Linked DNA regions of Tribolium castaneum. Each later gene encodes a partner of the first gene's protein in a complex. Links are inferred from orthologs where the notes say so. Each region holds a gene or a part of one and is shown in the gene's direction. Other genes may lie near its edges.

Region 1 (4,664 bases):
TTAGCGATTTGGTGATTGCGAAAAATGACTCCATTCGGGTTGGCTGATGCTGCGGTTGCTGGGGCTAGAAATGGGGGCTTAGGAGGATTTGTGCGATTTTATTGATTTGCTTACTGCATTTTGGGTCGGTTGGGTTTCGTCCGGTTTGGCCACTTGGCCGTTGGCTGACGGATTATTCTCGGCTTGGGGATCAGCCATTTCGTGTCAATTTCTCAATTCTTTTGAAATTTAATTAATCATTGACCACATCACATGAACGAAATGACTTTTCGTTTTGAATTTTATGAGGTTGGTATCGGTAATGAGTCGTGGTTAGGGCAGGGTAGCCAACGCGAACAGCGGACAGGGCCGGGCTCAGGCAACTTTTATACAAAATATCCTTAATCTCTGTTCATCTAACAATCACCAAAAACATAAATTAATCGCACAACCAAAGTTACAAATAAAATAAAAAAATAATAGTGTTTATTCAATAAAACAAACACAGAAGAAAAATTCGACTTGACATTTTCCAAAGCACTCTTCGCAAAAATGATTTCTTGCATGTAAGATTCAATCATATCACGTGATGATACATCGTTGTCATCAGAAGTAAAAACACTTATAACAAATACGAAATGCAAATGTGGCATTCATAAGAATACCCAAAGTTGAGTGTTGCAACTCTGTAATCAAGAACGCCTTGGAAAAAATGACGAAGGATTTAGATTTTTTTGTAAAAATTGCCTGAAGAATGTTCTACTTTTTCTTTGGTATTTGCTTGTAAAAAAAAAAAAACAAAAATTAGAAATTTTTGTGTTATTTTTTTAGTAATTCAAAAAAAACGACACCAAATTTTTTTTAGATAATTGAACAGGCTGTAAAAACAGAGTAAAAAGTACTATATTTTGGCTTTAGTTTTTTAAAACTTTCCAAAGTATGGCAAAAAATGTCTCTCTGTTAATAAAAAGTGTTTATTTTTAAATATTTATATTTTTTTTCTTCTTTTCTGAATTAACTAATAAATGTTTTTTTCTTTTTTAAAGACTATGTCATAGGCAGAAAAGCCCAAAGTTAAGTACCCCGAGGCGGCAATGCACCTAAATACGTTACTATGTGGAATTATCAAGTATTTTTTATTTATTCAAGGAACAAAGATACCACGCGATCATCGGAATTTATAATTAGAATAGACGTTTTTTTTGTATATAATGTGTATATAATTGATAGACAGGTGCATTTAGTTCTTCAGCTTAATTAATTATTATAATCAGCGTTTTCTTGGTTTTCATACAAGATAAAAAGTACCTTATAAAGCCTACTAGAAAATAGGCATTTAATCCTTTAGGGCAGAAAGTCTAAGTACGGTTCTGTTATTTTTAGTGGGCCTTTTTAAAGAAAAAAAATAATTTGTATAATTCCTGGAAGATGTGTGCAATTTAGTGTTGTTTTTTGCACAAAAGCGGGCATTTCGAGGCTGTAAAAATCGAAAAAAAAAGGCCTAAGCCCGACACGTCACCAGACCGCAAGCCCAAAATTCCCTATGCAGCTGTCAAACTCTTCAAGTCCTTTTCTGTGAGAAATTGGACGAGCAATGGCTGCAGGAGTAAGTATTATCGAAATTTCCTCAAATATCTCGCATTTATGACACAATCATCGGCAGAAAACCGTTGAATAACCCAAATCCGGCATTATCTTTGACAGTTTTGTGTTTATTTTTTCAGACACTGTACACCTATCCCGACAATTTCCGTGCTGCTAAGGCTTTAATCGCTGCCCAGTACTCCAAAAGCAATGTTAAAGTAAGCCCAAACTTTGTGTTCGGTGAAACCAACAAGTCGAAAGAATTCTTAAAGAAATTTCCCAGTGGAAAGGTGAGTCTGGACGCGCTTCAAAATTGAGGTTAAGTCACACTGGACAGTTGTATAGGTGCCAGCTTTCGAGTCAAACGATGGCAAGTATCTGCAAGACAGCAACGCAATTGCTTACTACGTCGCCAATGAACAATTGAGAGGCAAGTCGGAGTACGAGAAAGCCCAGATTTTGCAATGGGTGGGCTTTGGAGAGTCGGAGATACTCCCAGCTGGCTGTGCCTGGGTGTTCCCCATTTTGGGGGTTGTCAAGAAGAACGCCGCCACTGAGGAGGTAAATTACGTATTTTCTCGCGTCCTCCTTCAAAGGCAAATTAACCAATCCGGTTGGTTGATTTGTAACTCAAGGAGGTATATTAAGACAATTACCCATTACTGAGTGTCTCGGTGGCGCTCAGTTAAGTTATATTATTGTAACAAGTGATTTTCGCCCAGTTTTGTCACTAGACTGACCCAGTTTTCGTGATTCTAGGGATATGCAAGAGCCAAGGAGGACATGAGGGCTGCTCTGGCAATCCTAGACAGCCATTTGCTTACCCGTACTTATCTAGTTGGGGAACGTATCACTTTAGCTGATATTGTTGTAGCTTGCAATCTTTCAAATTTATACAAATATGCGTTCGATCCCGACTTTAGAAAACCATTCGTCAACGTTAACAGATGGTTCACAACTTTAATCAACCAACCTCAGTTTAAGGCCGTTTTGGGCCAGGTGCAATTTTTGGACAAAGTTGCACAACCTTTCACCGGCGCGCAGGGAGGTGAAGGTAAGCCAAAGTTTTTTTAACGGTTCAAATGATCAGTATTTAATTCTTTTGCTGCATAAAATTCTATGAGTAAATGGTCTTGTTTATAATGTATACCGTACTATGGAGAGTTAAATACTAGGAAGCAAACGTCGGTACTAACTCGATTTCTGTTTCCTAACGTTAGTGTGTAATAGTTGTTTACCTAACGAGTTTGGAAAGTGCAAAAAGTCCGGGGACTTTTTTTATATTCCTAGACTTTTTTTGTCTTCAACAGTATTTCTAGTATTTTGATAAATATGCGACGGTGTTCAAAGCAATTATCGCAATAAATGTGTTGCATCCTAGTGTCCATATGCTGCACATAATGGATTAAGTACTGTTCAGTTTATTGCAACCTGTGTTAAATCCCTTAACCCAAAAATAATTTTACAAGCTGCTAATACTAACAGTATTGTTGCGGAGAAAAATAATAAAAAGAAGAGTAAGTTAAGTGTGGTTTTATTCGTCTTGCTTAGTTGCTTTTCCACCAACAGGTAAGAACAAAAAGAAAGAGGAGAAAAAAGAGAAGAAGCAGCAGCAGCAGCCTAAAAAGGAAACACCAAAAAAGGAGAAAGAGCCCGTTGAAGAAATGGATGCGGCTGAAGCAGCGCTCGCTGCCGAGCCCAAATCGAAGGACCCCTTTGAATCCATGCCCAAAGGGACGTTCAATATGGACGATTTCAAGAGATTTTATTCTAACGAAGATGAAGCCAAATCAATTCCGTATTTCTGGGAGAAGTTCGATCCTGAAAACTACACTATTTGGTACGGGGAATATAAGTACCCTGAAGAGCTCACTAAGATTTTTATGAGCTGCAATTTGATCACCGGAATGTATCAGAGATTGGATAAAATGCGCAAACAAGCCTTTGCCTCAGTTTGTCTTTTTGGTGAGGACAATAACAGTTCAATCTCCGGGATTTGGGTGTGGAGGGGCCACGACCTCGCATTCACTGTACGTTGATTCTGTGTTTTTAAAATTGGTTTGATTGAGTTTTGTAGTTGAGTCCTGACTGGCAAATCGACTACGAGTCGTATGATTGGAAGAAATTGGATGCAAAATCAGAAGAGACTAAAAAATTAGTTGCCCAATACTTCTCATGGACTGGCACTGACAAAAAGGGAAGGAAGTTTAACCAGGGCAAAATCTTTAAGTAAAACCTGAGGTGTAATATATTTTTTTTACAACCATGTCCTTTTGATAATTTAATTTAAATCCATCGTTTGTCAGTTGTTTAACCCTAACTGTTTTTCTTTCAATAAAACGCTTTGAGGATAATTTATGTTTTATTTGAATAAACCTATTACACTATAAGTCGGCTTCAAACTGATCGTCTCTGTTGAGGGGATCACCTTTCAACAAAGCCACAATCATGCTAAAAATAAACAAGTTGCGCAATGTTTGATATAAATAGACACAACTCACCAGTACAGATACGCAAAAAAGAACAGTAAATAATATCCTAAATAAATCATACAGTCCCTCATATGCTTCTTTAATTGACCTCTATTGTGAATCTCTGTGGGGTCATAGATCCCCAAATTTCCACTTGGCACTGATACTAACTCATACACCATCCAAAATGCCATTGGCAAGTTTAGCAGTGCTAAAATCCAATGGCCGTGAATTAAAAACAGAAACGATAAAAACCCATGAGCTATCAATTTAGGGAGACTCCACTGGTTCAGTTTCGAGCAACATTCTTGAGCGTTTAAATAGTCGCATTCTAAATCAGACAAAGTAATTACCTGAACGCTAAATTAAAGAAATTATACGCTTTGTTCAAAACTATTCAGTACAAATACAAAAAAGGATACAAAATAGACCAGAAGAAATAATACTGCTCCGGTGTTTAAAAGAGAAAAAGCGAAAAGCAGTGGATCCGAAAATATCATATTGTTGGCGTTTCGATGAGTATTTTAAATTAAATGAATGGTTCTTCAATTTTTTGCGTTCTGAAACGGAGCATTTTAGAGGTTAGAAAACTGTCATAACAATTTTGAATAATCAATAATCGCACTGCGC
Region 2 (3,180 bases), on another chromosome or scaffold:
ATCCTTGCCATACTTCAGCCACATATGGGGCTGTATAATACGTACATAAGATAAGAACACAAATAAGTTAATACATTTCGAAAAAATATCGCAAAATACCTTTTTGATACCGTAATTCACTTGGATCAACACAAAATTTCCAATTTTTAAACCTTAATTACGCAGATTCGAGAGTTCCAACGCGTTGTTGAGCCAAAAACTCAGTTAAATCGACTTTAGTTTGCCAAAACGACACAAAAAATTTATAATATATATTTTTGTTAGCAGGAAATCATGTAATTTAAGCAGGTTTCTGAGGTAAAAACTAAATTAACTAAAAGCCGTGCATTTGTTAGCGTACACTCCCTAGTGTAAATTTCTAAAATTTAGCCGGTATGTATCGGTCTTTAAACGCAAAAAGCAAATTACACCCAAATTATACTAGGAAGTGAATGCAAAGGAAATGAAACTGCTACAAGTATTTCGCCAAAACAAGACAAAAAAATCTCCGCTTTTTTAGACCTCCATTACGCCATTAAATGATTTAAATCGATTTATTTTTCCGAAGCAACGTTTTTTCGTTAACGTTTTTTAATAATGGACTTACCATTCCTCATTGATTTCCTCATTAGTCCTCGGCATAATCCTCATCACCTCGCCCGTCCTTGTCGAGACCACAATATTCGAACCAACAGCATCCAAAACATCAATCGAGTCAATTTTCCTTATCTCCCAAGGCCTCGCTGTGAAACTATACGGCTTGCTAGTCAGCGCCCCCACGGGACACAAATCAATCACATTTCCCGACAACTCCGACAAGAAAAACTTCTGTACGTAAGTACCAATTTCCATACCGGAGCCCCGTCCCGTCGTCCCCAAATCATCAACCCCTGCGATTTCGGACGCGAAACGAATACACCTCGTGCAGTGAATACACCTCGTCATTATCGTCTTAATCAAAGGCCCTATATCCTTATCCTCCACAGCCCTCTTCCCCGAGAAGTCTATATCGGTAAACCGTGACCTATCGGACCCGAACGCCATACTCTGGTCCTGCAAATCACACTCGCCCCCTTGGTCGCAAATGGGGCAATCGAGGGGGTGGTTCACCAAAAGGAACTCCATGACCCCCTCACGGGCCTTTTTAGTCATCTCGGAGTTGGTTTTAATGCGCCACCCTAAACGTCACAACCTAAAGTACGATTTTTGGGCAACAAAATTGATTACCTTTCATAACAGGCATGGCACAAGCCGCCACAGGTTTGGGGGACTTTTCCACTTCCACGAGACACATTCGGCAGTTACCAGCAACCGCGAGACGCTCGTGGTAGCAAAATCGGGGGATTTCCACACCGACCAAAGCCGCGGCTTGCAGGACGGTGGTCCCAGGTTCCACCAAAACAGGCTGATCGTCAATAAAGACTTCGATTTTTTCCGGCTTTTTAGCAACATCACTCGCGGCCCGAGACAGGACGGTGATGTGCTTGGGGCCCAGCTTGGACCCCGTGAGGGCTTTTAAAAGGGTGGTACGCAGCATTTTCTACAAGAAATAGAAGTTTTTGACGCAAATGTCCATTACATAATTGACTGGTTTTATAACCCAACTTTACACCAAAGCACAAATAAACATCCAACAAAATTTTATAACGTAACCACGTAATGATTTTCAAATAAACTGTTTGTGACAAAAACGTGCCAATTTCCTTAAATTACCTTATTTTTGTGTTTTCAATAACAAACGTCAAAAAATGACGTCCATTACTAAAGTTGGTGGCACTGAACTAACCTAAAAAACTCTCTTTCCGTTACCATCTGTCACTGGCGTGGTCACTCTCACATTTGCACTCAAAAAATGGGCAAACCCAGCTTTGGCGACCTCAAAACCGACAAAGGTGTGAAGGAACTGAACAGTTTCCTCGAAAGTCGCAGCTACATCGAAGGGTGGGTCATTCATAATCAATTTCACACCACCTAACCTCGCTTTTAGCTACTCGTTGTCTCAGGCCGACTTGGACGCGTTTGGCAAGCTCCAAAAGGCCCCAGCTGCGAATTTGCCCCACGCTTTGCGTTGGTACAACCATGTCAAGTCTTTCACTCCTGCGGAGCTGAAGTCGTTGGGGGTTTCGGGGGCATGCCCCATGAAAACTGCAGCTCCGACCACCAAAGATGATGATGATGATGTCGATTTGTTCGCGTCTGACGAGGAAGAGGATGCGGAGGCTGCCAGAATAAGGGAGGAGCGTCTGAAGGCCTACGCTGAGAAGAAGTCAAAGAAACCGGAACTTATTGCCAAGTCAAGTATTGTGCTTGATGTCAAGCCCTGGGATGATGAGACCGATATGAAGGAGATGGAGAAGAATGTCAGGACTATTGAAATGGATGGGCTGGTTTGGGGGGCCTCCAAGTTGGTTCCTGTGGGCTATGGAATCAACAAGTTGCAAATTATGTGCGTGGTTGAAGACTTGAAGGTGTCTGTTGATGAGTTGGTCGAGAAGATTCAGGAGTTTGAGGATTTCGTCCAGTCTGTCGACATTGCAGCCTTTAATAAGATTTAAAAATGTAATTTTTCAAGATGAATAAATGCGTTTATTGATGAGTTTGGATTAATTTATAAAGGCGCAAATTACTAAACCCGGATTGTGATTGTGATGATTGAGAGTCAAGTCTGGTATTTGGTTGGTAATAAAATTCTCTTGGTTCTGGGGGTTTCACATAGTTGGATAAAACCGGTTCTTTGTCTTTTTGGGGCAAAGGTTCCCTCGATGTTATGACCGGTGGTGATTTAGAGGGCACCTCTAGTGGTATCAAATCTTTATAAATTGGTTTGTCTAAGGGAAAATTCACTTTTCGAGTCACCTACAAAGTAGAATGTTACTTCATGAAAATAACAAGTTTCAATCACCTTTTCACATAACGCAACATTGGAAACCTTAGTGCTGGTCGCACTTTTGACCTTCTCGATTTTCTCAGATATTTTTCTGAGCGAATTAAGCTCCGGAAACTCAAAATTTGGTTCACTCTCTTTCCGTTGATTTCCCTTTTTCCCTACATTTTCGCGTTTAGCGTCAGTCACAAGTTTGGTTTTGGGCACCGGCAGCTCGGTATTCCGCACAAGAGTCACCTTGGTTTCGTTTTTCTTAAATTTACTCATGATTGTTTACCCCTAATTCAAATTTGTGAGGTTATGTCTGCCCAAAAGTG
Region 3 (4,540 bases), on another chromosome or scaffold:
ACTCTTTATAAAATACAAAAAACAAAATAAAAAAGTTAAAGCTTCTTATTGTCTTATGATTATGAGTAATTAAAATTATCAGTCTTTTTAATTAATTTTTTTAATATCAATTTTTTTTATACTAAGCAGAAAAAAGTTGTATTCTTCAAAAAAAGTGAAATATGTATTTTATGCGTTATTTTGTATTACTTTTTTACAAAAATAAAAAAATTACAAGGGTGCGAATACCAACCTGAAACACCCAGTATAAATGTATGTTCAGCGGTTTACCCCTCGATTGGCCTTTAAATGTTAACATATTAAAAAAAATACAAAATCGATATCGGTCAACCTCCTGCATAACAAAATCATTTTTAAGTACAAATGGTGTTTCAGAAATGAGTTTTTTTTATGAATCACTACTGTTTATTTTACATTTTTGGAGCTTTTAATGCTAATTATGTTGATGTAAATTTCTGTGCTTAGTTTTTGAAATCAAATTTTTTCGATGAAAAAATTAAAGAGAAAAGTTCAAACTTAAGCAGAAGTAAGATTATCAAAAAGTTAATAACAATTTATAGGTTTCGATTGGTCGCAACTGGAGCCTTGCGTCGACTACATGGAGGTGTTCTACATAATTATTAAAGACGCCCCCGATCCGCGTCTGTACTCCTGTCTCGGTGGCCCTCATCCCGAGGAAATGAGCCGACTTTCGGCCGGGCTTCTCCGCCGGGTGCAATCGGGACCCCAAAGTGAAAATTACTCGTTTCAAACCCACATTGCCAGCATGGAGTACTTTGTTAGTATTGTTTGACTTTGTTTTTGTGTTTTTCTAAACAAATCTGTTTAGGAGACAGCAACAATCTACAGATTGAATAAATTACGGCCTTCTACTGCTAATGAAGATACCACAAGTGTTCCTGCAACAGAGGAAAACAATGAAACGGTTGATTTGACTGAAGAACTTGAGAATTTAACGGAGCTGGCAAAAGAGGATGCCAGCGCTACTACTGTTGACCACAATTTGATGACTTTGGACGAAATTTTTGAGCTTATTTTAGGCCAAGAAGGGAGTAAGGATTCTAGTTAGGGGTTTATGTTGTTACTATTGTTCGTAACTAGTTAAGATGTGTATTTTATGACTTGTTCTTAAGTGTTAGTTTCCTCGTTCGTATTATTTATCTCACTACACTAGTGCCTTTTCTAAACTGTGATCAATAGTTTTAAATATTGAGATCTATTTGTAAAGAAGCGTTGTAACCTTTGTAAATTTTTGCTAAACATTTCACTTCAATTTTAGTCATAGACAAATCATATTTATTAGCATAAATTAGTCAATTGTAATATATTCGATTTTAACTTAATTGTTTTAGCGTGACGCGAGATCTATGATGTAACTTTTATAGCGTTTGGTGTCGTTCCAGTTTTAGTCAAGCAAATTGTTTTGGATTATTTTAATCGTAATTTAGAGTCTTGTAGTCACTTAAAAAGACTGTATTTTATACATATTTTTGTATATTTGGAATTTGAAATAAACTGTTTTGGTACTACTTGAGTTTGGGGAATGGCTGCTTGCCCAAATAAAAATTTTGCAAAAAATGACATCTGGTATTCTTTTAGAGATAAGTCCTTGAGTTTAGGTTTTAATCGAAACACTTGGAAATATTTAAACATATTTGAATCAAATGTGTTCCCGGGTCTGGGGATTTTATTTTTTGTGTTGGCGACCCTGTCGACATAACCTTTTCGAGAACAGCTGTCTCCCCATATAACAGAGTACAAGAAATCTATTAAAAAACAGCAAAAATTCTAGGTAATTTTTGTAGGCGTAGTTAGCCAAAGTCAAGATTGAATTTGTTAGTAGTTATTTGATAGTCTTGACTGTGTTTGTTTCAAAATTACGACACGTGTGTTCTAACCTGAAATACTTTTAGCCGCAATGGAGTACATGCAATACGAGAATATTTGGCTCACCAAATCAATTTACGAGGACGCAGAGACAAAGTATTACGAGAACTTGGCAAAGGTAAGTGGCTAGAACAGTGAAACCGTGCAAAAATAAAACCGTTTAGAGTAGTATTCAATTCGCTTCCATTTCTTCAAAATCTAACAAAATTCATATGGAAAATCGGCAAAAGTATTGTTCTTGTCTAGGTGACACTTGTCCTACTAATTGGGTGTTTATTTTCGAGTACGAGACGTACTGGTATTAACATAATGGTGTTCTGTTTGGTGTAGGCGTCCGTAACTCCTTTGGCGGGCGAAGTTGCCAAGGCGCGACAACTTCTTATTCAAAGTAGGGATTCTTTTAAAGATGTGAGTAAAGGCTTGACTTAACCCATTTGCATCCCATACTAACCCATCAATCTTTCAATGACCAATTGTCTTACGGCTCAAAATTACAGGCCCCTGCGTCCGAGACCCAATCCACTGATCACGGCGCGATCAAATTCTTCGAGAAAAAGGCCGTCGAATTTGAGAAAAGTACGCTTTATAACCACTCAAACCCAAATTAATAATTATTCCACAGCTATTAACGCGATGGTGGAGAGCATAAAACAGCTAGAATTGCGTCTTTCCAAAGTCGAGAAAAGCGTCAATTCCGCTCCCAAACCTGCACCAGCCCCGAAACCCGCCGCTGACGACGACGACGACGTCGATCTGTTCGGCTCCGAATCCGAGGAGGAGAACGAAGCCGCCGCCAAGCTGAGGGAGGAGCGTCTGGCTGCTTACAACGCGAAAAAGTCTAAAAGTAAACGCAATAACAATTTCACTATTGACAAATTGGTTCATATTTGAGTCGTGTAGATGCAAAACCAGCTGTATGGTTTTTGCATTTTTAACTTTTTTTTATTTGACTAACAGTGACTGATTTATCAGTTAAATGTTAACAGATGTATTACATCTATTAACAGTGTAGGAAAACATTGATCGTAAGCCGTTTTTATAAGAACGTTTTTCGGTTCTATCATAATATGATTGCAACTTCGAATTTCAAGAATATAGATAGATAGATAGATATCTGGTTTATTATGTTCAAAATTTATTCAAAATTTTACATTCGTCAATATTAAGTACAGTAGGGTGATTTGAAAATGTCATGGCAATAAACCTCGGTTTGGGATCGGTAGGTACTCCGACCTCAAACGACATAATTTTACTTTTCAATTTGAATCCAATTGCTTAAAATAAAAATAAGAAAAGATGGCTCCAGTTAAAAACAAAACTATGTTTTATTTGCAAATTTTAGCAGATATTTGTTTACAGTTTGTCACTTCGGTAATTGTGTTTGTGTTTTATTCTCCATAGGGAGAATAAATTATTTAGCAATGCGAATTAAATATCATCTTTATTGAAATTGGTTTCATCGGCTAAGGGTTTTGACGGTTAAATTTACTAGTTGAAATAGAAGAATTACAGAGTGGACCAAAAAGTAAATTCACCTCTGCCGTTTTGTCAATAATTTTAAAATATACACTAATTTTTATAATTCCAGTTCAGCGATTCTCAAAATTTAGGAATTTAGCTTCAGAATGATTTTTTGGGAATATACCTAATCGATTTGTTTTGCCATTCTTTATCTACCTTCAAATTTTTGCTAAACCATTTCTTAACACGCTGTATAGATACTGTAAAGCAGTGCTGATGACGTTTGTGAAGATTTCAGTGTTGTTAAACGATTTAAAAAAATACGACAAAAAGGAGGTGTGACAAAGACTCTAACAACGATCAAAAGTGACAAAGAATATTTTTTCAAAAATATATTTTTATATTTTACCCTGTATTTTGTGCAGCAATTCGGCTGTGTGCTTTTTTGAGTTTCCATAATTTGGTGTTTAATTACTTGATAATCTAGAGTGTGCAAATCTGCTTCTTCATCAATAAGTCGACTATGGAATCTAAATTCAATACCGCTTCGTTCAAATGACTGCTGTAGTTTCTGAGTACTTACTGTCATCTCTGTAAGATCTGTTAATTAGTTGTTTTTTCATTTTTTTTAGGCAATGTTGTTTCAATTGTATCGTTTGTCTTTATTTGTGTTTTACGTTTTTGTATTTTCTTGTGTATGTTCTGTAGTTTCTAAGTTTGAAGCGCTTTTGCTTTTGTTTGCCAGCATTCAAAATTTTGATTCAACGACACATCGCGTCTAACAGTCATAGATGACCTTTATAATAATTTGTTTTGCTATTCTACTAGATCTTAAGCCTATTTAATTAAGACAAACAATATTTTAGTCTGCGAGGGTAGAGTTTAAAAACCTACATTTCTTTAACATTTTAAATAGCTCTCTCTACTTTTTGAAACATTTTTGGATGGGAGGCAATAAAGTTAAGCGTGGAGAAAACTAATATTTGTTGACTTTTTTTAGTTAGGGGTAGCTTCAAAAAGCAGGGGGTTTCATTTAAAATTTCTAATTAAGGATGGTTAATTTCTAGGGGATGATGTATGTTAAGAATTCTACTCTATCTTTAGCACAAGAGGGTAGAGGGTGGTTTGGGCCGACAAAGGCCCAGAATTGGGAGCAGTAGTATTAGTAAGTTAGTAGTAAGGGAACCCTGTT

Evidence for each region. Proteins that work in one complex are often made in the same cells at the same time.
Region 2: the proteins of eEF1gamma (region 1) and elongation factor 1-beta' are in contact, whole or in part, in a crystal structure (PDB 5DQS), measured with the Homo sapiens proteins. The link is inferred for Tribolium castaneum from reciprocal best matches to the Homo sapiens genes EEF1G and EEF1B2. Residues at the interface, in NP_001395.1 of Homo sapiens: Leu146, Lys147, Thr148, Arg149, Thr150, Phe151, Glu155, Arg156, Pro185, Asn186, Arg189, Leu192, Thr193, Asn196, Gln197, Pro198; in NP_001032752.1 of Homo sapiens: Ala20, Asp21, Lys22, Ser23, Tyr24, Tyr28, Val29, Cys50, His51, Arg54, Asn57, His58, Ser61, Tyr62, Glu65.
Region 3: the proteins of eEF1gamma (region 1) and probable elongation factor 1-delta are in contact, whole or in part, in a crystal structure (PDB 5JPO), measured with the Homo sapiens proteins. The link is inferred for Tribolium castaneum from reciprocal best matches to the Homo sapiens genes EEF1G and EEF1D. Residues at the interface, in NP_001395.1 of Homo sapiens: Tyr9, Trp13, Arg14, Phe40, Gly41, Asn44, Gly56, Lys57, Val58, Ser104, Val107, Pro108, Ser111, Thr112, Phe115, Ile120, Met121, His123, Asn130, Glu134; in NP_001123527.1 of Homo sapiens: Ala2, Asn4, Phe5, Leu6, His8, Glu9, Ile11, Trp12, Phe13, Lys15, Phe16.

The regions. Positions count from the first base shown.
Region 1 is NC_087402.1:7,326,260-7,330,923, reverse strand, and holds eEF1gamma (elongation factor 1-gamma), read left to right. Parts: upstream 1-1,424; 5' UTR 1,425-1,573; coding exon 1,574-1,585; intron 1,586-1,703; coding exon 1,704-1,853; intron 1,854-1,908; coding exon 1,909-2,124; intron 2,125-2,322; coding exon 2,323-2,617; intron 2,618-3,032; coding exon 3,033-3,080; intron 3,081-3,132; coding exon 3,133-3,593; intron 3,594-3,640; coding exon 3,641-3,796; 3' UTR 3,797-3,917; downstream 3,918-4,664. Other genes in the region: putative lipid scramblase CLPTM1, read right to left, coding at 1-64, 115-198; cnir (protein cornichon homolog 4), read right to left, coding at 3,948-4,014, 4,065-4,387, 4,457-4,534. UniProt on the Homo sapiens protein: Probably plays a role in anchoring the complex to other cellular components.
Region 2 is NC_087399.1:8,214,707-8,217,886, forward strand, and holds elongation factor 1-beta', read left to right. Parts: upstream 1-1,784; 5' UTR 1,785-1,831; coding exon 1,832-1,920; intron 1,921-1,966; coding exon 1,967-2,534; 3' UTR 2,535-2,575; downstream 2,576-3,180. Other genes in the region: ND-75 (NADH-ubiquinone oxidoreductase 75 kDa subunit, mitochondrial), read right to left, coding at 587-1,157, 1,207-1,516. UniProt on the Homo sapiens protein: Catalytic subunit of the guanine nucleotide exchange factor (GEF) (eEF1B subcomplex) of the eukaryotic elongation factor 1 complex (eEF1).
Region 3 is NC_087403.1:8,552,699-8,557,238, reverse strand, and holds the start of probable elongation factor 1-delta, read left to right. Parts: upstream 1-1,635; 5' UTR 1,636-1,792; intron 1,793-1,907; exon of another isoform or gene 1,908-1,913; 5' UTR 1,914-1,918; coding exon 1,919-2,005; intron 2,006-2,217; coding exon 2,218-2,295; intron 2,296-2,384; coding exon 2,385-2,463; intron 2,464-2,509; coding exon 2,510-2,731; intron 2,732-4,540. Other genes in the region: uncharacterized protein CycE, read left to right, coding at 561-778, 830-1,069.